4 linked regions of the Arabidopsis thaliana genome follow. The protein of the gene in region 2 purifies or fractionates together with the protein of the main gene of each other region. This does not show direct contact. Each region holds a gene or a part of one and is shown on either strand. Other genes may lie near its edges.

Region 1 (7,128 bases), on a different chromosome or scaffold from region 2:
GAGGAATGGTGTTGAGCTTGAACTGCCATTTTAATGATACAAAAGCTATATGATGATGTGATCTTAAGGTATTTGAACTCTGTCTCTGTTTTCTTCTGCACCTTTCACTCTCTCTTTAAATGTCTATAAATATAGGTTTAATAATAGTGTTTCTTTAGGGTTGGGTTTGTTCGTTTTGGTTCTCTTCTTCTTAATATGCTTTGGCTTTTTCTTTAGGATTCTCTCTCTCTCTCTCGTGTCTTCAACCACGCCATTACTCTTGCATATTCCAAGAAAAAAACAACCAAAAATAAAGTGAATTTAAATGACGGAAATCGATATTTCTACAGTTTATTCGGTGACCAAGTTTTTGTTTGGATAGTGGTTGTTTTAAAACATGTAGTGTACTACAAAATCTTTTAATTTCTTACTTAAAAAGGTAAATTTAAATATAGTATTTTTTTCAATTTAAGAAGTTTGGAATTTTTTGCACATTGTCTATTTTACTAAACAAAAGGTTTGCTTAGCAAAAATAAAATAAAATGAAATGCTTGTCGCTAATCATAAGTCATAACATGTGTATGTGTGAGACTTGCTTGATTTCTTTCCTTAGCACACTAGTTAACATAATTACATCATTAGACAGCAACTTCTTCCCACCTTTTTTTATATAATAGGATTCGTTTATCTTGAATATTACACTCTCTTTTTGTTGTTGTTGATAGTTTGGTGACATTAATTATTCTTGGTTTTTCATCTCTTTTACTTTTTAAGTAATGGATACTATATATCATAATCCATAAGCAATCTGGTTAAAGTTAACAAAAACACATTAGTAGCGAATCCGGAAAGATGTAAAAGAATAATTTATCAGTAAATATATTTTTTATTCTATCTGAGAAAAAAATCATTAATCATGTAGATTCTAATTTCAAATATATAATAAAGCATGCAAAATAAATAAATTAATTAAAAATTTAACTAAGAAGTTTCAGATTTAAACCCATAATCTCTTCTAAAAAATGAATAATACATATCAATTTAGTTTCTTTTTCACCAACGGTGAAATCGACATTTTTTTTTATTTTTTGGAACTTCGGATGGTACATTGATGAAGCTACCAAAACCAAGTACTAAATGTGTTACGTATTATATAACTTTTTAAAATAAATACATAATAAAAATTAATATTGAAAATGATTACACAATTATCTTACAATTAAAAATTGTTACACCAACCCTTCGTAGAAATATTAGGTGGTAACAAAAATAAATTAATGATTATTGAGAGCTTAACTTATAATGAGCTCATTTGAGTTGTTTGATCCTCAAGTCCCAACCACCAACCCATAACCCATTCAACATGTTTCCAGTTGGTTTGCATAATGTAAATGAATACTACACACACGAGACAACCACAACATGCATATATGAATAAGATATATATGGTTGAAATTGGAAACAAACTAAACGTTATTTTTACTTTTTAGTTCCACAAAAACTTTTGGATATGTTTTGATCAATAGTGGAATTGGGGCAGCAAAACAAAACTAGAATCTAAGAGTTTGGTTTTAGTCGTTTTCAAATATACGTGTTGAAAGTGGCCTATGGATGGATGGATTCATTTTTTTCCAAAAAAACAAACCGGTCTAATTAGACTGAGCGGTTATCCAATACCAAACCAAACCAACTATTTATTAAGTCAAAGGTAATCCAATGAGCAATTTCAAATCTAACAAAGCAACAACACACAGTGAAAAAAATCCAATGAGATAGAATCAACAGCTTTATCCATGGCTGAGTTCTAATATCTAAATGATGCTCAACACTACTTTACAAGAATCTCTTGAGTCTTTGGAGTCTTCAGGATCAGTTTTGAGGGATGTTTGATCATTGTACAATACCGTGGTCACGAAGGATCTAGAAATTTTCTTGCCACTCAAACTTTTCAGTTCATCCACAGGATGTTCTCGACTTCACAACATTCCAACTTTGTCAAAAGATTGGAGATTCTCAGCGATTTTTTGAAGTGCTTCTTCACTCATCTCAACTTTTCGGACTACACCCGGAAAGATCTTGTTCTTCTCGGAAGCAGCAGTGGGAGAAACTTGACCACAGAGCTTTGATTTCATCTCTAAGCAAGATTTGAGATCCTCTTCGGTTCTTGCTTTGTTCAGTTTATCGATTATTTCATTCAAAGCTGAACCTTTCTCTTCCCATTTCTTTCTTTTGACCCGCCTTTTGATATCATCTTGATCATCTGAAGAACTGCCTAAATCCAGTCTCTTAAGCTTCACCAAACCGGCTTTGACTGTCTCCGCGATCCGCTTCTTAAAGCTCTCTGTTCTTGCAGAGTTCGATCTCAGCCTCAGTTTAAGCTCTGAAACAATATTTTCCTCTTTGTTTTGCTCAGGAGCTGCTGTTCCATGACTCTCTTCATCAGGAACAGATGTAAATGAAAATGCTTCTTCGAGTAAATTCACATTACTCATGTACCGATCAAAAGCTTCATTTTCTACTTCAATGTTTCTGTCTCTGTACTCTTTTAGCTTTGTAAACCGCCACTCGTTTAAAGCTTGAGCATCCTATAGAATATAGACAGAACAAAAACTGATAAGAGGAAAACAACTAAATGGAGATTTTTCATAGAGTACTAAAGTCAATGAAAGACGTCTTAATTAGTATACCTTTATCGTCAAAGGTTTTCTCTGGCGGGAAGAAGCATTCAGGTTATTAAACTGAGCAAAGTTGCTAGAAAGTTGCCGGATTGACGAAACTCTAGTGGTACTCCTGAAACAATTTCCAAAAGAAGAAAACGTCAACATAAAGCGCCATATTTTAGTTCCACAAGACCAATATATCATCTCACTATCAACTACGTGCAATAAAACAAGAAAGCTGAAGAATCTCCTATCAAAGTATTAGTAAGCAAACACCGGTTTATCATCTAAGATTCACTTGCCCATGGAAGCACAAACAAAACAGAAAATTAGTTTATATATATGTACCCGGGAGTGCCCTCGGTTGCTTTCTGCTCTGAAGATGGAGTACTTGGCGCCTGCGTCTTCTCACCAGACGTTGAAGCTACTTTAAGAACTGCAGCGAAATAAAACACATAAGAAGAAACACAAAACAGTCCATGATAACATCTCTATATCTCTCAGCTAATCACAAGCACATTCCAAGAATCAGTCTTATGGTTCTTTATAGGTTTTTTTGTCCCGAGACAACCAAACGAACCCTATAGAAGTCAAGAATACTAAACTCTAAACTTACCAAGTGAAAGAATAGAACTCTCCAATCAAAGTTATCAACACTAAACTCTAAAACTGATCACTTTAGCTAATTATGAAGTTGAGATTTGACAGGGCAAACATACCGTGAATCGGGCAGGGATTCTCTGCTCTTGAACAACAACCCTTACAAGATTGAAAAGGGCACCTGCATTTATCAAATCCAAGCAATACAATTACAATTACTTCACCAATAATCTCAAAAAACTGATCTTTCGATACTAAAGCTCAAAACTTTAAACAATCTCCAACAGATTAATCACCAAATCATGAATAAAAACCCAAACCCACAAACCTATGAACCCTAAATCAAAACGAAAAAGTACTATACAAGACAAATTCGAATCCTTTCAGATCAAAAACCCAAGAACAATCCATAAATCGAAACCCCAGATGTAAAAAACCTAAGTCCTTCGATGAAACAATGCGTAGAAGCAATACCTGGAGCGAGCTACATTGCCGCATTGAATACACTTAGGCTTATTGAGACCACGGAGAGTTTTGGGAGGCGTGACGACGGAGGAAAGACCATTGTTACTCAGAGACGGTGACGAAGTCGCCATTGATAAAAAGTAACGGTTTAAATTAAAACCGTTATTCAACGAAAGAGATAACTAACGACCAAATAAAACTCGTGCGAGTGAGTAACAAAAAATTTGGAATCGAAAGGATTGGTTTTTATTTTTTTTTGTCGCTCTGATTTTGCGAAGTGCTCTCAATCGCTCGATTTCACGGCGGGTCTAGGGCTCCGGTTATTAATAATACCACGTGAGTCGTTTTTATATGGGCCTGGGTTTTAAAGCCCAATATAATTTCTCTTTAAATTGAACCGAACTTAACCAAATCATGAACTTTATCCGGGATCAGACTTGTCAGATAAATCAATATAAGCCCAAAAAAAGCCCAAGTAATTAGGTTATTCTATCGAATCAGATTCACATATATATAGACGTTATTGTTCATATGAACAATAGAACATCAATCTAAATAATTTAGTGTTTGCCGTTTGGGCAAATCTTTTTCTTCCTCATCTCTTCCTTCGCTTTGCTTTAGAGTCTTTTCATAAGTAAAAGAAACAAAAACAATAAATCATTCTACTAATTGACTTGTAACTCGAAGCTTTGATTTGGACGTTACAAGTGGTATCAGAGCTTCACACTAGAAGCTTCTAGATAGAAGTCAATTTGGCAGACAAAACAATGCATTTAGATTTTGGTGCATTCAACTTCAGAGTGTTTTCATATTTTTATACTACTCTATACTATTTTGCAATTGATATCGCTTTCTAACTTATTATTCTGATGCATCGATCGCTATATGATTATATTGCGTAACCTTGGCTGATTTTGCAGCTTCAATATACTTAGAGTCAATTTTGTACTTGGCTGATTTTGCAGCTTCAATATATTTAGAGTCAATTTGTATGGACTTGCAGATTTGGATGGGTTAACACATAAAAATATAGTTTATACTTTATAGACATGATTATTTAATTAATTAGTTGATTTATCATTGGTTTTAGATTTAGTAGACTATGAGGACTGTCAAGAGTCCACACGACGATCAAACTAAACAACTCTGATGATAATAGAGACTACAAAACAAAACAGAACTGAACAATTTTACAAAACAACAATTAAAAAGTATAATTTAATCGGAATAATAATATTTGCTCACCAATATATAAATTTTAATTATTCTTCTTCTTTTTATTTATTTGGTAAATATTTAACCATCCATTCATGATTTAACGATTACAATCGAGATAAATACCATTGGATAACAAAATATTACGAAAGATTTCCTCACCAATTCTTCGCGACATAGTGAACGTACATCTCTCAAGTTGTTACTTGTAAATTGCAATCATTCGCATAATCTATGTTGCATGAAAACGGAAACGGAAATGCGGATACGAAACGTTTCGGAAACGGGAAACGATTTTTTCTTAAAATTAGGGATTGGAAACGTTTTGGAAACGTATACACATTTATACATATATATAACATTATATATATATATATAACATTAACATAAAACTATATTAAAGAAAAAATGATTTAAACAATACAAGTCCAAAATATCAATATTAAATAAATAAACTAAAATTCTAAAAGATAAAAATTAAAAGGTTCAAGTTCAAATAGTTAATTTAGACCAACATTTTCATTAGTTTTATCAAAGATAATATAAAGCTCTTTTCAAATCTGGTTTAACAAAAGAAAGATCTTAAAACTCAAAGTCTTCCAAAATTATTTATATGTAATAATAATTTTAATATTTTCAATTTTAGTTATTAAATTTTTAAAGTCAATAAAAAAGATTTGTCGTATGTCTATTTCGGAAACGTGAGTTTCTATTTTGGAAACGTAAGTTTCCATCGTGTTTCTAAACCTAGATTTTTAGGAAACGCGTTTCCGTGACGTTTTTCGTATTTCCGGAGAGTTTCCGTTTCCGAAACGTTTCGGAAACGAGAAACGCACCTCGGAGCGAGTTTCCATGCAACCTAGCGCATAATCTTGCAAAAAAAAACATTAATACATAGGCCTTGGTTATTTTTTAATCCAACTTCTCTATAAATTGAACCTGAACTTAAACCAAATCAGAAATACATAAATCGGTCGGTTTGTGAGGTATTAATCCGAGATATGAGATATTTTTTCTTTTTCTTGTTAACAAATTAAAGGAGCAAGAATCGTCCTTATCAAGTAAGGACTTGATTTTCCAAAATATATTTGAATTCCTTTTTTGTAGGATCTTTTGTGGATCTAGTTGGCAAGAGTGATGTGTATATAAAAATGTTAAAATTGATTAATAGCCACAATGAATAATTCTGCCAATGAACTTGTACTTTGTAGCTTCAATCTAGACCTAACATTGGGTATTAAAGCTTCTATATATATAGAAGCTCTGATACCACATGTTAGTTTTAGATCAAAGTTTCAAAGTATTAATAAATTGGCAGAGAAAAAAAAGCATATAGAAGTCAATTCCCTTGAAGTCCTTTTTAACTTATTGTTCTTAGTTGGATCTTGAGAACAGTATCTTGGAGTATTTCTATGTAAAATGTGAATTTATAGTTTTCAAAATTTAAAGCCAGAAGTATGTTTGCTTTTTTATTGATGTTGATGTTTGAAATCATCATTATTTGATTCTTCACAAATCAATATTTTTCCTTGCATGCTGTAGATTAGACGATACAACAGAGATCAAGTAGATTCCAAGAATCTTGGAAGCCCGAGAACTATGTATATACACCGCATGATTTGTCAGGACAAAATTTGGGTTAACAGTAAAAATGGAGTAGAGATGACTTATCATTGGTTTTTTACTTTTTAGAAATATCGACAGTCCATGCAACGACCAAACTAAATATTTTTGGTTGTATATCAGAGACTTATGCGGTAATCTAATTTTTCAAATTGACAATGGTAATGTCCAAGACTTTCTTTGTTCCTCCCATTCTCAACCTTCAGTGAGAAGAAAAAACTACAACAATTAACAATATATCAGAAAATAAATAAATAGAGAAAGAATAATCTTACAAAATAAAAATGAGAAAATTAAAGTATAATATTTAATGCGAGTAATAATACTTCTTAATCAATAGTTTTGTGTGAAAAAGAAAATCTAAAGTTTAGTGAGAAACAATAAAATATTATGAAAGATTTAGTGGTGACCGTAAACATACATAATCTCTCAAGTTGTTGCAATCGTTCCCATCTCTTCCAAAAGTGTTTTTTCCCTGTTTTGGCAAAGGAGTAAGAATCGGTCCTTGTCAAGTAGGACTAGATTTTTTCCAAATATCTTTGAGTTCCGTTTTATGTATAATCTTTTGTGGATCCGCTTTGCATGT
Region 2 (7,922 bases):
ACTTCCATTCCTGTTATTTAATATTCTGTGTTCTCTTCGTCAAGGGTTTGTGCACATCTACTTGATATACAATCTAACCTCCATATCTCATATTCCATACATCAACTAGAGTGAATCGACATCAGCATAATCTTATTGTTAAATATGTGGTACATCGATCTAGTAAAATGCATGGTTTTTTATTCCGTATTACTTTCTCTTGACTCTAAAGGCTTGCAACACAGACTGAAACAAGCCAGTACATTTTGATTTCAAGTTTTCAACTTTGCAGGTCACTGCAGATCGCAACTACAGTCCTGGTGATGAGGTAAGATTATAACACGATGAGATTCACTTCTCAGAGGATGCATTACTTATTTCTTTTAATAATCACTAGATTCTATAAGAATGTTATTTTTGTTGAGGTCGATCTCAGTGACTGGTTAAAACTCATGGGCTTGTTGAAGCTTACCAAATATCTCTGTGTAGGTATTCATCAAGTATGGGGAATTCTCAAATGCTACACTCATGTTAGATTTTGGATTTACCTTTCCTTACAACATTCATGACGAGGTTTGTTTTCTAATATCATGACCGTAGCCGTAACAACATTGATCTATAGATGTTGGATTGAAGATGCTACTCACCAACCTTGAACTTGATTGTCATTTAATTGACTGAATGGGATGTTGAAACTTCACACAGTCATTATCTAAGGATTAGTATCAAACTGATACTGCTGCGGTGACTTATAGGTTCAAATCCAAATGGATGTACCGAATGATGATCCTCTTCGCAACATGAAGCTGGGACTTCTCCAGACACATCACACTCGAACTGTCAAAGATATCAATATCTTTCACTCTTCTTGTGATACTTTCACAATCAAGTAGGTATTAAAGTTTAGCTTTAGAATGTTACCAAGCCATTACAAGTTCTTAACTGCTTACATATCAATATCCGTACTCAAAGAATGGAAACATGGGAGATAGTAAGAAAGCAGTTAAGAGTGATGTGAACAGTGGATAGGAAAATACCAATGAACCTACTTCTTTAGAATTGGTTTCAGTAACAGTGCTTTTTACATGTGTATCTAAGTGTACTTTTGGTGATCTCTCAGGGAAGTGAAATCTGCTATAGGGAAAGGAAAAGGCATTCCACAATCTCTCCGTGCATTTGCTCGTGTTCTCTGTTGTATCATTCCCCAAGGTGCTCAAATCAAATTAGTCACTCTCTTTTATCATCTTGCGAGGCTAATTCCAAAAGTATTAACAGTATAGTTGATTCTCAGAGCTAAATGATTTGTCAAAAGAAGCTGCACAAAATGATGGCCGACTAGCTCGGCTTCCTTTTAAAGACGGGAACAGAGAGTTGGAGGCACATAAGATCCTCTTGTCTCACATCAACAGATTGATTGAGGATCATAGTGTTTGCATCAAGGTACTATAGAACGCTTTACTCAACTAATTTCCACACAATGACTGACAATGTAGGTTTTGAAAAACGTTTATTGGTGGGTGCCTTTGCAGGAAATGGAAGAATGCTATTTTGTATCACAAAGATTTGCTGTTAGAAGGCAGATGGCAAGAGATCTCCTATACGGTGAGCTTCGTGTACTGAGATCTGCAGCTGAATGGCTCAATCATTATTGCACAACCTTGCTTTCAGAGACAATGTAATCGATTTTACAGTCTCTACGATAGCAATATACCAATAAATTGAGATATTGGAGTGAATAAAAAGATTAGTGTTACTCTATTTCTTAATCCGGAATTATACCTCGTTCCATTTCCGAAGCCAACAAACAAAAGAGAAATGATGAACATGTTGAATCAGGATGGTATCCAAATAGATGAAACCAGACAGAACCAAATTATACACCTCAAGTGAGGAAACTGATAGTAGAATCGGAACTGTGGTTTGTGAAATGGTAGTGGGACAATAAAGTGTACTTTGCCGGTTGATTTATACAGAAACTACTAGTGGATAAGAAGAAAAACATGAATAAAAATATCAGAGCAAAGCAGCCAAACATGTTTCCACTAAAACCATGTTGACTAGAAAATTGTCATAAGACTGAAATGAAGAAATGGCTTGATATACAAAGGAACGAGCTGTTTCTAAAGTGATGCAAAGTTTTATCTGCAAGTGCATATTCACAAAGAGTAATGGAGAAAGTTGGAAATTTCAGTTTCTTTGGCCTTAATACTGTCCTCCCAGTCATCCATTGAAAAGGTGACCAAAGTGAGGATTATGAGCATATGGGTTCATGATATATATGCCTTAACTAACTCCGTGTAGTTGCAGACAAGCCCTGTCCTTGGACATGTTATTTTACCTCCATTCTTTTCCGCCATTTCCTTGAGAGCCTGCAAGTTCATTTACCCATCAAATAAATAAAAAAAGTAACCCAACTTTAAATTTTTTGAACTGTATAGGATAGACTGATGTAACTGATCAAGCTAATAGAAAAAGATTCTAAAAAGAGAAAAAGAACAGAGAAGCTGAAGTTGTACAAGAACAGAATCAAACCTTGGTGCTGTAGACGTAGCCATTGGGCAGCACCTGTGGTGGGTTCTCTGTGTCCATTAGCTCCTTAGAAATATAGCAAACAAGCTTTGAATGGTGCTGCTTGGAGAACGGTAAAGGCAAAGCTAGCTTCCGAAAGTTCTCTTGTGAGAGAGGGTCCTCTTTGGTACAACCTTCTTCTAAACCATATCTGAGTCATATCAAGGTACAAACGCAACCCACCAGTAAGAATCACATTAGGGTGTCATTTCGAAAACTTACTTTCTGCCCCTTTATCAGATGCAGAAAATAGACAATCAAAAACATCAATTTTGATAGAGTTTGATCGTTACGGAGTTTTCAGCGCAGACAAGCCTGCCTGTAAGTAGATGTTCAATAAGGGTTCCATCGTCATGCCATATAACTTGCAAAATTCTTGTTTAAACTGATCAACTAAAACATCCCACTGTCGTAGTTCAAACAAAACCTGAGAAAAAAGAAAAACATATCTGTTAGTTGATTAGCCTAAATACATGCAATGATCAATTAAGATTCGACAAGAGTTGAAAGTAACACAACTAATTCGGCAATAAACAAAGACGAAAAAGATTACTGAAGCAGCCTGGTGTATGAAAGAAACAGTGAAATCTATATCCACGTTTTTGGGCCATTTCAGACAAAATCAATCATTAGGAAAAGATACAAGTTGAAGCGTCAATTTTCAACAGTTATATAATCAAAAGAAGGAAAACTTCACCTTATATTTTGAGCATTCTGTGGTACTTTTAAAAGCCAAAGTGGCCAGAACATGCTGCAATTCTTTCATATGGGTTGTTCCCCATGATGCCAGATGCTTTCGAGCATACTGGATTGCTTTTTTGTAGCTCTCAGCTGTATCAACTCGTACCAACTCGATGAATTCTTGCAGCCTTAGTTGGAACTCAAATTTGCTCTGTTATGAAAAGGAAAATATATAATTAGCAATGAACAATTATACATAGAGTTCTGGTAAAAAATTGGATACTTTAGCCAAACCACATGGAGTTCATAAAAAATGAAAGTAAAACTTAACCATGAGAGTACATAGAGCACGTACCTTTGACTTTTTCAACCGCGTTTTGTTATCAGCACACCATGTCAATGCAGAAGCTACCTCCCTATTTTTAAGGGCATCAATCACCTTCTTAGCTTCTCGAAATATGTCAATGTCGACAAGGTCCTGAAAAGATGAGATATTTATAATTAGCATTTCATAGAGATGCAGTACAAATCAACAAATCTGTTTCACTGCTTGTAAAAACGAAACAGCAAAGAATATGTTCTGATATATTAACCAAGACAGCAATATAGCATAATAGTGTGATATAATGAGTGTCAAGAGGATGAGAGAAACCATAATATTGCTGCTTTCCGAAAGCTTTGTAGCAGTCTCGAAATATGACATCCGCAGCATGTAGTCTACAAGAATCCGTTTCAGTTTGGTATTATTCCATTCAGTAATATTTTCCACATCTACTGAATCCAAATGATCGATGCGAGCACGACATCTCTGGGCTTGCAAATTCTCCACATTGCTCCCTTCTTCCAACTGAGATACAAAACCAAAAAAATACGTAAGCCAGGCCATATCCATGTGATGTTACTCCAGAAGATATAGAAACTATCCCAAATGATAAAAATTTAGAAGACAATGCAAATAGTCAGATGGGAAGTTCCAATGAACCAACTCCACCACTACATTGAATTCATCGAGATCCAATGTCTAGTGAGACATAATTGCCAAAGACAGATACTTTACTTTGATCTTCAACATCGAAGATCAAATTTTTTACAGATAAGTGGATATCATTTAGCAAAATCAGAAACTTTAATCGCTAAATTAATTGATTCAGTTTCGTCTACATAATTTAAAACACCGATCACAGAGGGAGAGAGACGGAAAAATCAACCTTTCGTTTGAGGCCTTGTAATCGAGTAACAAGGCAAGTAAGACGCGAAACGGTATCGTCTTTAGACCAATCGGAATCAGCCAATTCTCCGACGCCGTTAACAATGGTTGAGACCTCTTTCTCGAAAGAACGGTGATTGGTACGGATCGTCTTCTTGTAATGCTCGAAAGGAACGCGGAGGAGCTGGTGCTCAAGCTTGAGAGATTCCGTAAATTGATTCGATCTCGAAGACGAGACGACGACCGGCGACGGAGTGATCGTAGCGGCGGATTCCGTCATGACGGTGTCAGAGTTTCCGTTGGTGGCGGAATCGATTTCCATGGCAAGAAAATGGGAGGAAGAAGTTAGCAGAAATTTTGCAGAGAGAGTTTAGATTTTGCCTTGTGGTGGTGATCTTGATTGATTGATATATGTATGAGAAGAAAAAAAACTACAGAAGAAATAAATAGTGCCAAGTGAAACGGCGTCGTTGGTTTGTGGTACTCTATAGTTCAAAACGACAGCGTTTGAAAAGGTAGGAAACCGTCCGGTCTGATCTAATCCCTAACCGAGAGTATGTTTTGATTTTTGGGCTTTGTCATTTTAGTTTGCAGCAACGTTTGATCCAGTACCAGGTCCAGTTGATGAAACAAAAATAGTCTAGGATTCCCAATTTTTGATTAATATATAACTAGTCTATACAAAATATTAATATACAGATATTTTTAATTATTAAAAACCCTTTTTTTACTGAAATTAAATTTACCTTGTGAAAAAATATCTCAAAATAAAGTCTTTTTTTTTTTGGGCTTTCAAAATATTAGGACTGATCGTGATTATACCTAATATGTTATGAGTAAAACTAAAATATGGCCAAAGTATCAATGCAAAAAAAAAAAAAAAAAAAAAATTTAACACATGATGTGTGGTCAATATATAATTCCAAGTGTAAAAAAACTATATATAGATAATATTTTATTTATAGAAAATATAATTATAAATATATGATGTCAGATTTCTATCTAAAATAACGCATTACTTCTCTTTTATATTATTTCAATTTATTACGGGCAACTATGTGTCGAAATACTATATGTATTGTTTAAATACTAGGTGCTATTGCCAAACATAAAGAAGAAAAATAAAGCATGAAAGTAAATTGAGAAATAACCTTATCATTTTTGTTAGATTTCTCGACTTTTATACCAAATTTATAATTATATAATTGATTATGAGCGTAGTTGGTAATTTATAGTATTAGGTATGGTGGTATACATACACCTTCCCGGTCTCAAAGCTTATCAACAACAAAAACGGTATCATACCAACAATTCTTATCGTTATCACTTCAAAACTGTATCATAATTACCTCATATCACTCAAACCTATATATTTTATTATACTTATCTTAAAACAACTAAATACCCTACATTTAATTTGTAATTTACAAGTTTTTCCAATGTTGTTATTGATCACTGTTATGTGTTGTTAGTGAAAAACAAATAATTGTAGCCCCGCTCCTCCAAAAGTCCAAATGGCTCTATCCGCCGCGCAATGAAAGATTTAAAAAGGTTACCAGAAATACCCTTCACTGGATACTCTATTTACATTATCACACCGCCAATAAAGATTTTTGGAGCCGTTTTGTTCTTTTGGATTCTTCGTCGTCAACGAGACACTCTCACACTTCTTGCACTTCTCCCTTTAGATCAAATCCACGTTATCTAGCGCTGTTATTAAATCTGCGTTTCAGTTTCTTCTCCATTCGAATTTTCGATTTGCAAAATCGCTGTTTTATGGTATGTTCATAAATTCTAAAGATCTTCCCTTTTGAAATTTTAAAATTTTTCTCTGTGTTTCTTTGGTTTTCTTTAAAGCCAATTGTGTCGTCATAAAAAGCTGTCGCCTCTCAGTGTTTTTTTTTCCTTTTTCTTTCAATTTTCCAACTATTAGAAGAGAGTAGAGAGAGTAGAGTTGGATTTTCTGGCGACGAAATCGATTGAGATCGTTTAAAGAGAGAGCCTTTCTAGATTTTGTTAGTGTTCGAGTAATCTCGCCGAACATAATCTTCATCAACTTCTCCGCAAGTAGGATTTAGGTTCGATTTGTGATTTGATTAGTCTCTAGGGTTTATCGTAGCTTTGAAGATGCTTAGGGTAGTCTGGTCTTTTATTTTAGGCCTTGGCTCGATGTTTACTATGATAAGTCTTGAGTTTCTGAATCTCTGAGTAGAGTTATAGTTGATTATCTCGAGTCTAAGATCATTTATGCTGTTTTTTCTCATTTCTTTTGTTGAACTGGTTTATCTTTCATCGAGCAAATTGTTTGTAAGATTCACTTGGAGCACTTTTTTTGGAGATTGACATGAACTAATTTGCTGCAAAATGTGAACTTTTCCTAGTTTAGTGCAGGAGATATCTTACAATCTATTGATTTGCTTCTATATGTTTTGATTGCAGCTGCAGTTGTTATAGCACCTTTTGATTGGAGAAAACAATGAAAAAGCTCTTCTTTTTCAGATCTTCTGGTAATGGAAATGATAAACAAGTTAACTGCGAAAAAGAAGCGGATAGTAAGATGAGAACCCAAGCTAGTAGTCAGGCTGAACAAGAGTTCGATAGTCCTAAGTCACATGGTCAAGTTTCTGGTGGTCTAGCTCTTAGACGAAGCCTTTCATGGTCCTCTGCAGGTTTCCTTTTTGACAAGTTTGGAGAAACTTCCAAGAATGAACTAACAACTAGTGCTACTAAAAGCAAGGATAGGCGGCGCAATCATTCATCTCGGTATGCTTTTGGCCTTTCTTCATTCTTATGAGATTGTTTTGATGATTTTCTGTAATGTTTTCGCTATCTTGGTTCTATATTTGATTAAACCACTGACAAACAATGTAATGAATACTGTGTACCAGATGCTTTACTCCAGAAAGACAAGTTAGAGAAAGGCAGTGTAAAGCAGACAAGTTTCAGCATGATTCGTCTGGGAGTTCATCATCTTGTTCGAGTAATGTCTCTAGTAAAGTTCTGGACCGTTATATTGATGGAGAAGAGCATTTGGAACCGTGCAAGCAAAAGAGTAATTCTTCACACAGTGGTGTTTCTGAGAGTATAAATCGAAGGAGGCTTCCACCCCGAGTTCAATGGACAGTCCCTACATCACCATCAGACACTTTCGATGAGAAACGAAAGTCCCAGTCATTTAGAGAAGCTAAAGGCACCCATTTACGTTACTCTTCTGCTGATTGTGTGGATAATGGGTTGCGGCATGGATCGCCTCGTTCGGTTGCTAGAAATGTCATTGAAAGACTCTCTCAGACTCATGGCAAGTCAAAGGGTTCAAACCACGAACCAATCACAATTCAAGATGTCTATGGTGGATCCCTTAACAGAACTTTTGACTCGAGCTCAGATATCGCCGCTAATGTTTCACTAGCTGAACATTATGAACCTGTTAACGAGTATTATACGCAGGACTATGGAGGGCACCAGCAAAATTGTATACGGAGTAGGA
Region 3 (7,421 bases), on a different chromosome or scaffold from region 2:
TTGCATCAGTAATGCCATCAAAACAAACACCAAGCAATAAATATTCAAGAATCTTTAACGCGTAAACGCCGCAGTCCCCTCTGATATGATTTTGCGGGACCTTTTTCTTGTCCCTCCGCCGGAATGAAAATTGGTCGTATTGCGGGGTACGGACTTCGGAAGGAAACAGTTCGTTAATCATCTGTGGAATCATCCTCGTGAACGGCCTACAAACTTCCAGCATCTTTCCATCGATATCGTCTGTATGCTCTCCGACGATGCAATCATAGCAATCGATGTGAGACCTAAGCAAGTTCACGTGAAGGGTCACCCAATGATTACCTCCGGTTTGGTGGATAATATACAAGTGATCCACATCTGTTATCAACTTCTTCCGTGTTGCCACTTCTCTTCTCATACCGTTAATCCACTATTGATACGCGGTGTCTTTGAAAAAAAAACTCTTCTGTTAGATCTTGAACTGATTGTAATCTGTAACCTAATAAATCGTGAACCACGGGTCTAGAATTATGACGCGTTCGTTGTGGTATGGGCAGGGATCTCGCTGGAGCCTCCGGGCGAGGACTTTCATATACGCAGCAATATGCTGTACAAAAATAAAACCAACCCAGACAAAAAAAACAACAACATTAACTCACCATTATCTACTTTAACTCAGGCAGAACAATACCATAACTTAGACATAACCAACTACAACTCAGTCTGCACACCAGAATAAACCAGCTATAATTTATTTAACTCAGCCTAAACAACACGATAACTCAGCCATAAAATAGACAACCTCAGACAGAATATAACAATAACTTACTTCATCACCCAACCATCCATAATTTGAATCTGGCCATAACTTTCTTTCGGTCATGAAAACTCCGTAGAAATCAACCTCGTCTATTCCATTTTCCAACGATTTTTTGCTAACAAATAATAAAAGAAAGTTAATATACACAAATAGTGTAAGCATGTCGTACTTAACAACTTATTAAGGTATAAAGGGTCATACATGTCGAGACTTGACAAATAATCCTTAAGTTTCTGCATGCAATTTGGACTCAGAATCAACTGGATGAAAAAACAGTCTATGTGTATCCACGCATGAATGATTTTTCCACTGGCCAGCTCATATACCGACCAGAATGATTCTTCTTCCCTTTCAGCAACTAACGGCTCTGCAAAAGGGAACATATATAGTGATATATAACTGATCTGTCGCAAGAACATGATGACCATTTCTTCCTAGTGAGTATTTTGAGTGAGGGGGGAGTTTTTAGCCTTGCTCTTATGATTTAGGGATTTTCTTATTCATGACAATATTGGACCCCTAGGTAGTACTAATAACAAGAGAGGGTTTTTGTTTTCAAATGTTGGTTTACTGGTTAGGCTTTTATTCTCCACCATGGTATGGTTCCTATAAAGCTACATAAGAATTCATTTTGAAGTTTGTTTGGTGTGTGACCGAAGAACCAAAAAAAAAAAAAACAGTTGCTCATTCTTTGTCTACTTATCTCACTATTCGGCAATGCATATACGTCCTAATCTTTGTTTTGCTTATCTTAGTTATTCTATCTCTCTCCCTTACCTAAAAAGCTGGCTTCAAAGGACTTGACGGATCGTTTATAAAACAGACTAGTCATAAACATAGATTTATATTCGAGATGGCTTCAAATACGAATCTTAAACTGTTTATAGTATATATAGTATCTAATAGCTGCGGGTGTTGTGAAAGGGAACTTAGTGTTGACCATGGTCATGGAGTTTAACCAAGAAGTTTGTTGAACCAAGGATTCACACAATAGATTTGTTTAGAGAGGGAAAACAAATCTAGTAATTTCTCTTCATTAGGTATTCTATCCAAGACTCGATTACAAGAGGGGTTCTAATCTCTTATGAAATACATTAGGGTTTTGCTCAAGAACAGAAAAAGAATTAGAGTTTTAAAAAGGTATAGCTGCATCCATGATGGATTGCCTACGTACCCTGTGAAGGGATCAAGCCATTCGTAGTTTTCAATAGGTATAAAGTTCTATGTTTCTTGTGAATATCCCAAGATCTCCCCCTTTTTGTGAAGTCCCTAAGGCACTTTATATAGGATCCTTAAACCGCCTCCCTAGCGATATTCTTCGGAAGATTCTTATTTATCCTTAGGTCGGTTCTAGAGGATAATCGTCCTAAGGATATTCTCCTTATTCTTCGGAGGTTTTGGGGAGATTTCCTGATTTCGACATTATCTTCAAAGATTCTCCTTTATCATTTCTGAAAGTCCCATAAAAGATCCCATTTTACCGGAAATGATCCTTGGAGAATGAATGGTTTTTACAAGTCTTTGCCTCGCGTGTTCTTCACGGCTCGGTGGTCGTTTGAGAGGTGGCTTCGGGGCAAACGGTATGTACCGGCTCGGGGCGCGCTTGATGACTGTCCATTAAGCTCAGTTGGCTGTCTCCCGAGCCGATATAGATGTTTCCCGCAGCGTTCTCACGATTGGTTCGGGCTGTGTTCATATGATTAACACCCGAGCCATTTTACAAACTCTCTTCGGGACGGTCGATCGAATAAGGTCCCGAGGTGCTTTGTTCTAGGCTAGGGGCCAATCATATGTTTAACCATGAGGTGATTGTTATTCTTAGACTGTTTGGCTCGGTCTTGCTTGTGGGGGAATCCGACCCCAACAAAGTTGTACCTTGACGGAAGAGAGCACGAATGGGATCGGTGCGGGTGTCTGGAAAGTGCCTGAAGAAGGTTCATGTGATGATCAAACTCTGGAATGCTACTGGGAGTACTGACTGTACCAAAACCTCCTCCAACAGTGCCACAGGGAACAAGCAAGCCCCATATCAATGTGTGATGAAGTTGAAGGAGCAGGGTCGTAAGGTGGACTTCCACAGTTAGAAGGAGGCTTGTGTGATGGAGGAGCTCCATATCCTTCGTCATAGTACTGATTTCCGGATCTGAATAAAGAAGCATGGCATCATTTGGAAGTAAGAGATCACATGAGAATACCATCCCTAGAACCGAGAGAGAAAAGTTTATGTTAATAAATTTTTATTGTATAATTGATATTGAAAAACATTAATAAACATTAATAAACAGTGTTCACATAAGGTGTAAATTCACCCCAAAAGCACTCTAAAAAGTAAAAACCAAAAGAGAAAAAAACATAGAAATGGTTACTTAATAATATACCGAGTTTCATCTATTTACTTAATAATATACGGTTATTTGATTTACCGGTTAACTAAAAAATATCTGGTTTAATCGTATTTATTGTTGGCAAACACAACATTGGGCGCGAAGTGGTTTTTGATGCCCTTCAACAACATTTGGGGGTTTCATTTCAATCGCATTTCTAGGGTTTCTTTCTCTACGATTCAATAGATTCGGACGAATTGGGGGATTCTGACCAGAGAGAAGCTATGGAGGAAAACGAAGAGGAAGAAGAATTGCGGCCAACGGCGCTATACACGGTCGGTGGTTCAGACGAATTTACCTTTGTTTCTCCCGATGGGCTCTCCGGTCAATACACGGGCCCTGATCACGACGGCGTAGTTCTTCAGACTGAAAATCCGGCGCCGACTAACTGTCTTGCTTACTACTTCGAGGTTCATATCATGAATGCTGGTGAAAAAGGAGAGATCGCGATTGGTTTCTCCAAGGAACACATCTATAGCGAAGGGTATCGTTTTCTTTCCCTTTCAATTCGCATTTACCACTTATTGCGTGATTTGATACTCAATACAATCATTGATTCTGTTTGATTTGGTACCTGAGACTGAGAGAACAAATTGGGAAATAGGTTTAGATACAATGGTAGATCAGTAGTTCAAATCACTGTTTCAATGGTTTGGATTCGTTACTTGGAAATAGGTTATGTGATTTGCTGCTCAATTTGATTGTGTTGGCTGTTAGATCTGGTATCTTACAAGTTAATGGGAGATTTGCTTTGTTAGATGTTTTCACCTTTCAGTAATTAAGCATTCCAATTCACTGTTTCATGTTTCTCTGTAATGTTAGATATACTGTCAGAAGCTGTGCCTACATTGGTAACAGTGGACTCATATGCTCTCAAAATGGAGATGGTGATCGAACTGTTGCTAAAGCCAGTGACACCTATACAACAGGTGATTTAGTTGGTTGCGGTATAGACTCGGTTTCACAAGAATTCTTTTTCACGTAAGTAATAACTGTTTCCCTATCTGAACATGTTTCATTACAATTGGAAAAGTAGATATCAAGATACACAATTCATTTCTTCATGTCACAATGTTTTTGACATGTCCCTGCGTATGTTTTACTTGCTGACATCTATGACTACTTCTTTGATTATAGGAAAAATGGAACTATCGTAGGGACAATCCCCAGGCAATTTAGGCGTCCTGTATACCCGACAATTGTTTTGCATAGCCAAAACGAAGCTGTCACTGTCAATTTCGGCGGACAGATTGCGTTTTCTTTTGACTTTGAGGTAAGGTCGTACTTTTCTTTTCTTGCATAGTCGGAGAATAACTATTGAGTAAGCAGAATAATATGCATCTCTCACATATGTCCATATTTGCATGTATGTGGCATATTTTTCTGATACAATATTCTATTATCTGATCCACCTTTATTTCAGCATTTTGAAGAATCATTGAGGGTTAAAAAAGAAAGGGAAATTGAAAAGATTTCCATGTCTCGCAGCATTAGTCATGGGTAAAGTGTCTTTTCCTGCCTGTTCTTAATTGTAATTCTTGTTTCTGTTTGTGCTAAAGCTTCCTTTTTCCAGGCTTGTAAAAACCTACCTTCTTCGTTATGGATATGAAGATAGCTTTAGAGCTTTTAACCTGGCTGCAAGTCGTCATACTGTTATTGCACAAGAAAATAGTTTTGATGAGTATGAATTGCATCAAAGGAAAAAGCTCAGAGAGGTACTTTTCACTGCTATGGTTATCTTGCTGTAATTTTTTTTTTATTTTTTTTCTGTGAGGTACAAAATCAACCAAAAGCAAGCTACATTGCTACATCTTTTCTGTTTCATATCGAACTGATCCATGCATTCTGTTTGTTAAAGCTTATAATGACTGCTGAGATTGATGATGCTATTGCTGCACTCAAGGATAGATATCCCCAACTTATTGAGGTGGGCTGAGTAACTAGTTAATATATCGAGTGATTCACATTGTTAACATTCCTTGAACTATTTTAACAAGCTGCTTGTATCATATGCAGGGTGGATCAGAAGCTTATTTTCTTCTTATCTGTCAAAAGATTGTCGAATTAGTACGGGTATGTTCTTTATTCCTTGTATATTTGTTACACATATCCATGGTGTGTTTCTCTAACTAACTACAATGCAGAAAGGAGCAATAGCAGAGGCTAAGTCATTTGGAAATCAAGATTTTAAAGACTTTAGGGATTCAAGCCTACTAAAAAACCTTTTCGATGTATGTAGTGATTCTCTAACTGTTAGATTAGGTTTCTCATATTTGAGTCACTAATAGTTTTGTTTTTCTCTATTTCAGGATTGCTCTGCTTTGTTCGAGTGTGAAACTATAGAAGAATCAGGTGCTGCATATCTTCTAGGAGAAACACAGAAGAACATAGTAGCAGCTGCAGTCAGTGAAGCGATTCTATCTACAAATCCGGCCACCAGAGACCAGCAATCTGCTTCACTTGAGCGAGTGCTTAGACAGTTTGAAGCCACCTGCTCACTCTATGCTCGTGAATAAAATCTTGACTTTTTCTGTTTTTCTTTTTATCTTTTCTCTTGATAGAGTCATTGTGTAAGCTCAAATGTTCTAAAACTAGCGATCATACTTTAACTTGATTCACAACTATATACGAGATTATATTGGAGCTTGAAAATTTTTATTTACAAGTATTTATCTACAAATCGGCAAATATTGAGCTGCTCATACTAATTTTGATAATTTAATCGGCTACAAATTTTAATGACATGTTGTTGTTAGCTGTAAGTTAAAATATGAAATCGAAAGTCTTTTGTTTATTGCTTTCAACTTAAGCCTTTGTGATTACAAGCTATGTCTATTTATACATCTAGATTGATTTAACCTAGTGTCTTCTTGATTTGCATAGCTGTCACTTGGCTGTTATGTGGCGTCGTTGTCTTCACATGATTCAAGAGCCTCATAGCGATTCCTCGTCGTTACTTCCGTACTGCGTGGAGATAAGGACCGCTCTGCAACTTTTCTGCTTTTGTCCTTTGTTGTTGCAGGTTGTCGTTGCACTATGTTGGGCTTGGCTCTTGGATTGGGCACTTGTTTCGGATTGGGCTTTAATGGTTTTGAGCCCAATTCCAAAACTGTGTCGTTTGGAGCTGTTCTGTTGATACTCCCCCTCAAACTTGGAGGAGGTGGGAAATCGACACCAAGTTTGAATCGGAGAGATTCGAAAGGAGCCTTGGCGAGAGACTTTGTAAATATGTCAGCGAGCTGTAGATAACCCGGGATATGATGGACGATGAGCTCACCAAAAGCTACCTGCTCTCGGACATAATGATAGTGAGTTGCAAAATGCTTTGTCCGAGCATGAAACGATGGATTCGCTGTAAGGTAAACGGCAGAGAGGTTGTCGCAGAAGAGTTCGGGGAGCTGTAACTGCGGAACACCCAGATCACGAAGTAAATTGACTAGCCATGTGATTTCCGAGGCTGTATCGGACATAGAGCGATATTCAGCTTCGGTTGAGCTTTTGGCGACTGAGACTTGCTTTCGAGAAGACCAGGAGATTAGATTGTTGACAAGAAATGTACAGAAGCCACCGGTGGAGCGACGTGTACCATGACAACCGGCGTGATCACTGTCACTGTAAGCTCGCAGTTGACAATCTGTGTCCTTGTTGAATGAAATTCCCATGGTTGTTGTTCCTCTGATGTACCGGAGAATCCTTTTGAGGAGAAGAAAATCCGACACTGTAGGGGCGTGCATCTTTTGGCACACGTAATTAACAGAGAATTGGAGGTCCGGTCTAGTAAGTGTGAGGTAGTGCAGCTTACCAGCCAAACTTCTGAAATATGATGGATTGTCGAAGGGCTCGGTTTGATTAGGTGCTCTCTCAGGTTGAAGTGGCAATGGTGTTGCAACAGGAGAACAGTTGGATATTGTAGTTGTAGCTAGAAGATCTTCTGCATATTTCTGTTGAGAGAGAAAAAGACCTTTTGGATGAAATTGCGCCTGAATACCAAAAAAATAACTGAGTCTGCCCAAATCTTTCATCTTGAACTGCTTATTGAGCTCATTAAGAAGACTGGAGAGAAGTTTTGAGCTATTTCCTGTGATGACCATATCATCAACGTATAGAAGAAGCATGATCACATCCTTGTTCTTTACGTAGACAAAGAGAGAAGGGTCAGACATACTGCAGGTAAAACCAAAATTGAGTAGGAATTTGCTGAATATGTCAAACCAAGCCCTTGGAGCTTGTTTAAGCCA
Region 4 (7,558 bases), on a different chromosome or scaffold from region 2:
ATGCTCATCCTGATCATGTTTGCTTATTACATAAAGCTCTCTATGGCTTAAACAAGCTCCAAGGGCTTGGTTTGACATATCCAGCAAATTCCTACTCAATTTTGGTTTTACCTACAGTATGTCTGACCCTTCTCTCTTTGTCTACGTAAAGAACAAGGATGTGATCATGCTTCTTCTATACGTTGATGATATTGTCATCACAGGAAATAGCTCAAAACTTATCTCCAGTCTTCTTAATGAGCTCAATAAGCAGTTCAAGATGAAAGATTTGGGCAGACTTAGTTATTTTCTTGGTATTCAGGCGCAATTTCATCCAAAAGGTCTTTTTCTCTCTCAGTAGAATTATGTAGAAGATCTTCTAGCTACAACTGCAATGTCCAACTGTTCTCCTGTTGCAACACCATTGCCACTTCAACCTGAGAGAGCACCTAATCAAACCGAGCTCTTCGACAATCCATCATATTTAAGAAGTTTGGCTGGTAAGCTGCACTACCTCACACTTACTAGACCGGACCTCCAATTCTCTGTTAATTACGTGTGCCAAAAGATGCACGCCCCTACAATGTCGGATTTTCTTCTCCTCAAAAGGATTCTCCTATACATCAGAGGAACAACAACCATGGGAATTTCATTCAACAAGGACACAGATTGTCAACTCCGAGCTTACAGTGTCAGTGATCACGCCGGTTGTCATGGTACACGTCGCTCCACCGGTGGCTTCTGTACATTTCTTGCCAACAATTTAATCTCCTGGTCTTCTCGAAAGCAAGTCTCAGTCGCCAAAAGCTCAACCGAAGCTGAATATCGCTCTATGTCCGATACAGCCTCGAAAATCACATGGCTAGTCAATTTACTTCGTGATTTGGGTGTTCCGCAGTTATAGCTCCCCGAACTCTTCTGCGACAACCTCTCTGCCGTTTACCTTACAGCGAATCCATCGTTTCATGCTCGGACAAAGCATTTTGCAACTCACTATCATTATGTCCGAGAGCAGGTAGCTTTTGGTGAGCTCATCGTCCATCATATCCCGGGTTATCTACAGCTCGCTGACATATTTACAAAGTCTCTCGCCAAGGCTCCTTTCGAATCTCTCCGATTCAAACTTGGTGTCGATTTCCCACCTCCTCCAAGTTTGAGGGGGAGTATCAACAGAACAGCTCCAAACGACACAGTTTTGGAATTGGGCTCAAAACCATTAAAGCCCAATCCGAAACAAGTGCCCAATCCAAGAGCCAAGCCCAACATAGTGCAACGACAACCTGCAACAACAAAGGACAAAAGCAGAAAAGTTGCAGAGCGGTCCTTATCTCCACGCAGTACGGAAGTAACGACGAGGAATCGCTATGAGGCTCTTGAATCATGTGAAGACAACGACGCCACATAACAGCCAAGTGACAGCTATGCAAATCAAGAAGACACTAGGTTAAATCAATCTAGATGTATAAATAGACATAGCTTGTAATCACAAAGGCTTAAGTTGAAAGCAATAAACAAAAGACTTTCGATTTCATATTTTAACTTACAGCTAACAACAACATGTCATTAAAATTTGTAGCCGATTAAATTATCAAAATTAGTATGAGCAGCTCAATATTTGCCGATTTGTAGATAAATACTTGTAAATAAAAATTTTCAAGCTCCAATATAATCTCGTATATAGTTGTGAATCAAGTTAAAGTATGATCGCTAGTTTTAGAACATTTGAGCTTACACAATGACTCTATCAAGAGAAAAGATAAAAAGAAAAACAGAAAAAGTCAAGATTTTATTCACGAGCATAGAGTGAGCAGGTGGCTTCAAACTGTCTAAGCACTCGCTCAAGTGAAGCAGATTGCTGGTCTCTGGTGGCCGGATTTGTAGATAGAATCGCTTCACTGACTGCAGCTGCTACTATGTTCTTCTGTGTTTCTCCTAGAAGATATGCAGCACCTGATTCTTCTATAGTTTCACACTCGAACAAAGCAGAGCAATCCTGAAATAGAGAAAAACAAAACTATTAGTGACTCAAATATGAGAAACCTAATCTAACAGTTAGAGAATCACTACATACATCGAAAAGGTTTTTTAGTAGGCTTGAATCCCTAAAGTCTTTAAAATCTTGATTTCCAAATGACTTAGCCTCTGCTATTGCTCCTTTCTGCATTGTAGTTAGTTAGAGAAACACACCATGGATATGTGTAACAAATATACAAGGAATAAAGAACATACCCGTACTAATTCGACAATCTTTTGACAGATAAGAAGAAAATAAGCTTCTGATCCACCCTGCATATGATACAAGCAGCTTGTTAAAATAGTTCAAGGAATGTTAACAATGTGAATCACTCGATATATTAACTAGTTACTCAGCCCACCTCAATAAGTTGGGGATATCTATCCTTGAGTGCAGCAATAGCATCATCAATCTCAGCAGTCATTATAAGCTTTAACAAACAGAATGCATGGATCAGTTCGATATGAAACAGAAAAGATGTAGCAATGTAGCTTGCTTTTGGTTGATTTTGTACCTCACAGAAAAAAAATAAAAAAAAAATTACAGCAAGATAACCATAGCAGTGAAAAGTACCTCTCTGAGCTTTTTCCTTTGATGCAATTCATACTCATCAAAACTATTTTCTTGTGCAATAACAGTATGACGACTTGCAGCCAGGTTAAAAGCTCTAAAGCTATCTTCATATCCATAACGAAGAAGGTAGGTTTTTACAAGCCTGGAAAAAGGAAGCTTTAGCACAAACAGAAACAAGAATTACAATTAAGAACAGGCAGGAAAAGACACTTTACCCATGACTAATGCTGCGAGACATGGAAATCTTTTCAATTTCCCTTTCTTTTTTAACCCTCAATGATTCTTCAAAATGCTGAAATAAAGGTGGATCAGATAATAGAATATTGTATCAGAAAAATATGCCACATACATGCAAATATGGACATATGTGAGAGATGCATATTATTCTGCTTACTCAATAGTTATTCTCCGACTATGCAAGAAAAGAAAAGTACGACCTTACCTCAAAGTCAAAAGAAAACGCAATCTGTCCGCCGAAATTGACAGTGACAGCTTCGTTTTGGCTATGCAAAACAATTGTCGGGTATACAGGACGCCTAAATTGCCTGGGGATTGTCCCTACGATAGTTCCATTTTTCCTATAATCAAAGAAGTAGTCATAGATGTCAGCAAGTAAAACATACGCAGGGACATGTCAAAAACATTGTGACATGAAGAAATGAATTGTGTATCTTGATATCTACTTTTCCAATTGTAATGAAACATGTTCAGATAGGGAAACAGTTATTACTTACGTGAAAAAGAATTCTTGTGAAACCGAGTCTATACCGCAACCAACTAAATCACCTGTTGTATAGGTGTCACTGGCTTTAGCAACAGTTCGATCACCATCTCCATTTTGAGAGCATATGAGTCCACTGTTACCAATGTAGGCACAGCTTCTGACAGTATATCTAACATTACAGAGAAACATGAAACAGTGAATTGGAATGCTTAATTACTGAAAGGTGAAAACATCTAACAAAGCAAATCTCCCATTAACTTGTAAGATACCAGATCTAACAGCCAACACAATCAAATTGAGCAGCAAATCACATAACCTATTTCCAAGTAACGAATCCAAACCATTGAAACAGTGATTTGAACTACTGATCTACCATTGTATCTAAACCTATTTCCCAATTTGTTCTCTCAGTCTCAGGTACCAAATCAAACAGAATCAATGATTGTATTGAGTATCAAATCACGCAATAAGTGGTAAATGCGAATTGAAAGGGAAAGAAAACGATACCCTTCGCTATAGATGTGTTCCTTGGAGAAACCAATCGCGATCTCTCCTTTTTCACCAGCATTCATGATATGAACCTCGAAGTAGTAAGCAAGACAGTTAGTCGGCGCCGGATTTTCAGTCTGAAGAACTACGCCGTCGTGATCAGGGCCCGTGTATTGACCGGAGAGCCCATCGGGAGAAACAAAGGTAAATTCGTCTGAACCACCGACCGTGTATAGCGCCGTTGGCCGCAATTCTTCTTCCTCTTCGTTTTCCTCCATAGCTTCTCTCTGGTCAGAATCCCCCAATTCGTCCGAATCTATTGAATCGTAGAGAAAGAAACCCTAGAAATGCGATTGAAATGAAACCCCCAAATGTTGTTGAAGGGCATCAAAAACCACTTCGCGCCCAATGTTGTGTTTGCCAACAATAAATACGATTAAACCAGATATTTTTTAGTTAACCGGTAAATCAAATAACCGTATATTATTAAGTAAATAGATGAAACTCGGTATATTATTAAGTAACCATTTCTATGTTTTTTTCTCTTTTGGTTTTTACTTTTTAGAGTGCTTTTGGGGTGAATTTACACCTTATGTGAACACTGTTTATTAATGTTTTTCAATATCAATTATACAATAAAAATTTATTAACATAAACTTTTCTCTCTCGGTTCTAGGGATGGTATTCTCATGTGATCTCTTACTTCCAAATGATGCCATGCTTCTTTATTCAGATCCGGAAATCAGTACTATGACGAAGGATATGGAGCTCCTCCATCACACAAGCCTCCTTCTAACTGTGGAAGTCCACCTTACGACCCTGCTCCTTCAACTTCATCACACATTGATATGGGGCTTGCTTGTTCCCTGTGGCACTGTTGGAGGAGGTTTTGGTACAGTCAGTACTCCCAGTAGCATTCCAGAGTTTGATCATCACATGAACCTTCTTCAGGCACTTTCCAGACACCCGCACCGATCCCATTCGTGCTCTCTTCCGTCAAGGTACAACTTCGTTGGGGTCGGATTCCCCCACAAGCAAGACCGAGCCAAACAGTCTAAGAATAACAATCACCTCATGGTTAAACATATGATTGGCCCCTAGCCTAGAACAAAGCACCTCGGGACCTTATTCGATCGACCGTCCCGAAGAGAGTTTGTAAAATGGCTCGGGTGTTAATCATATGAACACAGCCCGAGCCAATCGTGAGAACGCTGCGGGACACATCTATATCGGCTCGGGAGACAGCCAACTGAGCTTAATGGACAGTCATCAAGCGCGCCCCGAGCCGGTACATACCGTTTGCCCCGAAGCCACCTCTCAAACGACCACCGAGCCGTGAAGAACACGCGAGGCAAAGACTTGTAAAAACCATTCATTCTCCAAGGATCATTTCCGGTAAAATGGGATCTTTTATGGGACTTTCAGAAATGATAAAGGAGAATCTTTGAAGATAATGTCGAAATCAGGAAATCTCCCCAAAACCTCCGAAGAATAAGGAGAATATCCTTAGGACGATTATCCTCTAGAACCGACCTAAGGATAAATAAGAATCTTCCGAAGAATATCGCTAGGGAGGCGGTTTAAGGATCCTATATAAAGTGCCTTAGGGACTTCACAAAAAGGGGGAGATCTTGGGATATTCACAAGAAACATAGAACTTTATACCTATTGAGAACTACGAATGGCTTGATCCCTTCACAGGGTACGTAGGCAATCCATCATGGATGCAGCTATACCTTTTTAAAACTTTAATTCTTTTTCTGTTCTTGAGCAAAACCCTAATGTATTTCATAAGAGATTAGAACCCCTCTTGTAATCGAGTCTTGGATAGAATACCTAATGAAGAGAAATTACTAGATTTGTTTTCCCTCTCTAAACAAATCTATTGTGTGAATCCTTGGTTCAACAAACTTCTTGGTTAAACTCCATGACCATGGTCAACACTAAGTTCCCTTTCACAACACCCGCAGCTATTAGATACTATATATACTATAAACAGTTTAAGATTCGTATTTGAAGCCATCTCGAATATAAATCTATGTTTATGACTAGTCTGTTTTATAAACGATCCGTCAAGTCCTTTGAAGCCAGCTTTTTAGGTAAGGGAGAGAGATAGAATAACTAAGATAAGCAAAACAAAGATTAGGACGTATATGCATTGCCGAATAGTGAGATAAGTAGACAAAGAATGAGCAACTGTTTTTTTTTTTTTGGTTCTTCGGTCACACACCAAACAAACTTCAAAATGAATTCTTATGTAGCTTTATAGGAACCATACCATGGTGGAGAATAAAAGCCTAACCAGTAAACCAACATTTGAAAACAAAAACCCTCTCTTGTTATTAGTACTACCTAGGGGTCCAATATTGTCATGAATAAGAAAATCCCTAAATCATAAGAGCAAGGCTAAAAACTCCCCCCTCACTCAAAATACTCACTAGGAAGAAATGGTCATCATGTTCTTGCGACAGATCAGTTATATATCACTATATATGTTCCCTTTTGCAGAGCCGTTAGTTGTTGAAAGGGAAGAAGAATCATTCTGGTCGGTATATGAGCTGGCCAGTGGAAAAATCATTCATGCGTGGATACACATAGACTGTTTTTTCATCCAGTTGATTCTGAGTCCAAATCAGCTCCTTCAACAAGCGCTCCAATTCAGGACCTGTTGACAATTCACAAAACATAACATCATCATCATCTCACTTGGTACATTGACAAAGTTTCAAGAGCTGGAAATCTGAAAGACACATGAGAGCAACTAGGGACTGTAATTATGACACTTTTGGCCATCATAAACAACTGGTTCTGTTTTTTGGTAGATAAGCTCATTATTTTTCACTTTCTGTGTCAGTAAAAAGTATAGCCATATACCTTTTTCTCCAGTCTGGCTTGTATGGATTGCTTCGTTTACGTGGCTAGCAGTCCTAATCCACTGCGAGTTGTGGAAAAGCTCCCTGGACGGGCAGTTAGGGAGACCTTCAGTAACGAGTATACACACTGTTTTTTCCAGTTCTCTTTGTAAGGCCTCCTGCATAAGATTGCAGAATTTGTTTATGACCAGTTCCAATCTCCTATTATAAGATGAATCTGCTAAAGACTCACATTCTCCTCAGCTAGTGGCGCGAGTTTTTCCTGTGCAAACGCAACAGCCTCCTCGGTCTTCTTCTCACGGATCAACTCGATCAACATTTGCTGGTGGAGGTGAAAACTTGTTTTGATAATCTACAAACACCAAAAACCAAAAAACAAGTAATGAGATATCCAACTATTTCTTCTCTTAAGCACTTAGGAAACTCCATATACCTCAGGGTTTAGTGCATTCAACTTCTCAATTGCATCCTCGAGATTTCGGGATTCGATAGCTTTTATCACCTCCAATCGCTCATTCATGCTAGCAAGATCTTCCTCTGCTGTTTCTGGTTAAAGGAAAAAAGAACTGAAAGCAGAAAGTTATTTCACAAGTTTAAACTTGAATCATCACCATCAGAAGAGAACGAATCTGAGAAATGTCTTCCACACTTTTAAAGCAGCATCATCATCAGAAGAGAAAGAATCTAACAAAAGTTCTTTTACAAGTTTAAACAAGAATCATCATCATCAGAAGAGAACGAATCTGAGAAAGTTCTTACACAAATCACAAGTTTAAACATGAATCATCATCCGAATCAGAAGAGAACGAATCTAATAAATTCCTTTCACTAGTTTAAACACGAATCATCATCAGAGAAATAATCTGAGAAATTTCATTCACACTCTCACAAGCATCATCATATAAT

Evidence for each region.
Region 1: the proteins of AT3G55070 (region 2) and AT1G32730 fractionate together in Arabidopsis thaliana (co-fractionation; one large-scale study listed by BioGRID). This does not show direct contact.
Region 3: the proteins of AT3G55070 (region 2) and AT4G09250 fractionate together in Arabidopsis thaliana (co-fractionation; one large-scale study listed by BioGRID). This does not show direct contact.
Region 4: the proteins of AT3G55070 (region 2) and AT4G09310 fractionate together in Arabidopsis thaliana (co-fractionation; one large-scale study listed by BioGRID). This does not show direct contact.

Annotation. Positions count from the first base shown.
Region 1 is NC_003070.9:11,837,784-11,844,911, reverse strand, and holds AT1G32730 (electron carrier/iron ion-binding protein), read right to left. Parts: upstream 4,003-7,128; 5' UTR 3,836-4,002; coding exon 3,714-3,835; intron 3,421-3,713; coding exon 3,359-3,420; intron 3,076-3,358; coding exon 2,988-3,075; intron 2,770-2,987; coding exon 2,667-2,769; intron 2,565-2,666; coding exon 1,956-2,564; 3' UTR 1,604-1,955; downstream 1-1,603. Other genes in the region: AT1G32740 (SBP (S-ribonuclease binding protein) family protein), read right to left, coding at 1-29.
Region 2 is NC_003074.8:20,405,212-20,413,133, reverse strand, and holds AT3G55070 (LisH/CRA/RING-U-box domains-containing protein), read right to left. Parts: upstream 4,861-7,922; 5' UTR 4,758-4,860; coding exon 4,437-4,757; intron 4,076-4,436; coding exon 3,881-4,075; intron 3,707-3,880; coding exon 3,584-3,706; intron 3,440-3,583; coding exon 3,245-3,439; intron 2,975-3,244; coding exon 2,841-2,974; coding exon of another isoform or gene 2,837-2,840; exon of another isoform or gene 2,699-2,836; coding exon 2,512-2,698; intron 2,349-2,511; coding exon 2,247-2,348; 3' UTR 1,770-2,246; downstream 1-1,769. Other genes in the region: AT3G55080 (SET domain-containing protein), read left to right, coding at 272-307, 469-552, 735-868, 1,100-1,188, 1,271-1,419, 1,509-1,658; AT3G55060 (CAP-gly domain linker), read left to right, coding at 6,912-7,198, 7,324-7,922.
Region 3 is NC_003075.7:5,873,280-5,880,700, forward strand, and holds AT4G09250 (SPla/RYanodine receptor (SPRY) domain-containing protein), read left to right. Parts: upstream 1-3,298; 5' UTR 3,299-3,407; coding exon 3,408-3,667; intron 3,668-4,005; coding exon 4,006-4,164; intron 4,165-4,320; coding exon 4,321-4,456; intron 4,457-4,606; coding exon 4,607-4,683; intron 4,684-4,756; coding exon 4,757-4,898; intron 4,899-5,041; coding exon 5,042-5,110; intron 5,111-5,492; coding exon 5,493-5,699; downstream 5,700-7,421.
Region 4 is NC_003075.7:5,899,448-5,907,005, reverse strand, and holds AT4G09310 (SPla/RYanodine receptor (SPRY) domain-containing protein), read right to left. Parts: upstream 4,194-7,558; 5' UTR 4,058-4,193; coding exon 3,798-4,057; intron 3,460-3,797; coding exon 3,301-3,459; intron 3,145-3,300; coding exon 3,009-3,144; intron 2,859-3,008; coding exon 2,782-2,858; intron 2,709-2,781; coding exon 2,567-2,708; intron 2,424-2,566; coding exon 2,355-2,423; intron 2,266-2,354; coding exon 2,209-2,265; intron 2,138-2,208; coding exon 2,051-2,137; intron 1,973-2,050; coding exon 1,766-1,972; 3' UTR 1,557-1,765; downstream 1-1,556. Other genes in the region: AT4G09300 (LisH and RanBPM domains containing protein), read right to left, coding at 6,317-6,444, 6,654-6,810, 6,885-7,004, 7,086-7,192.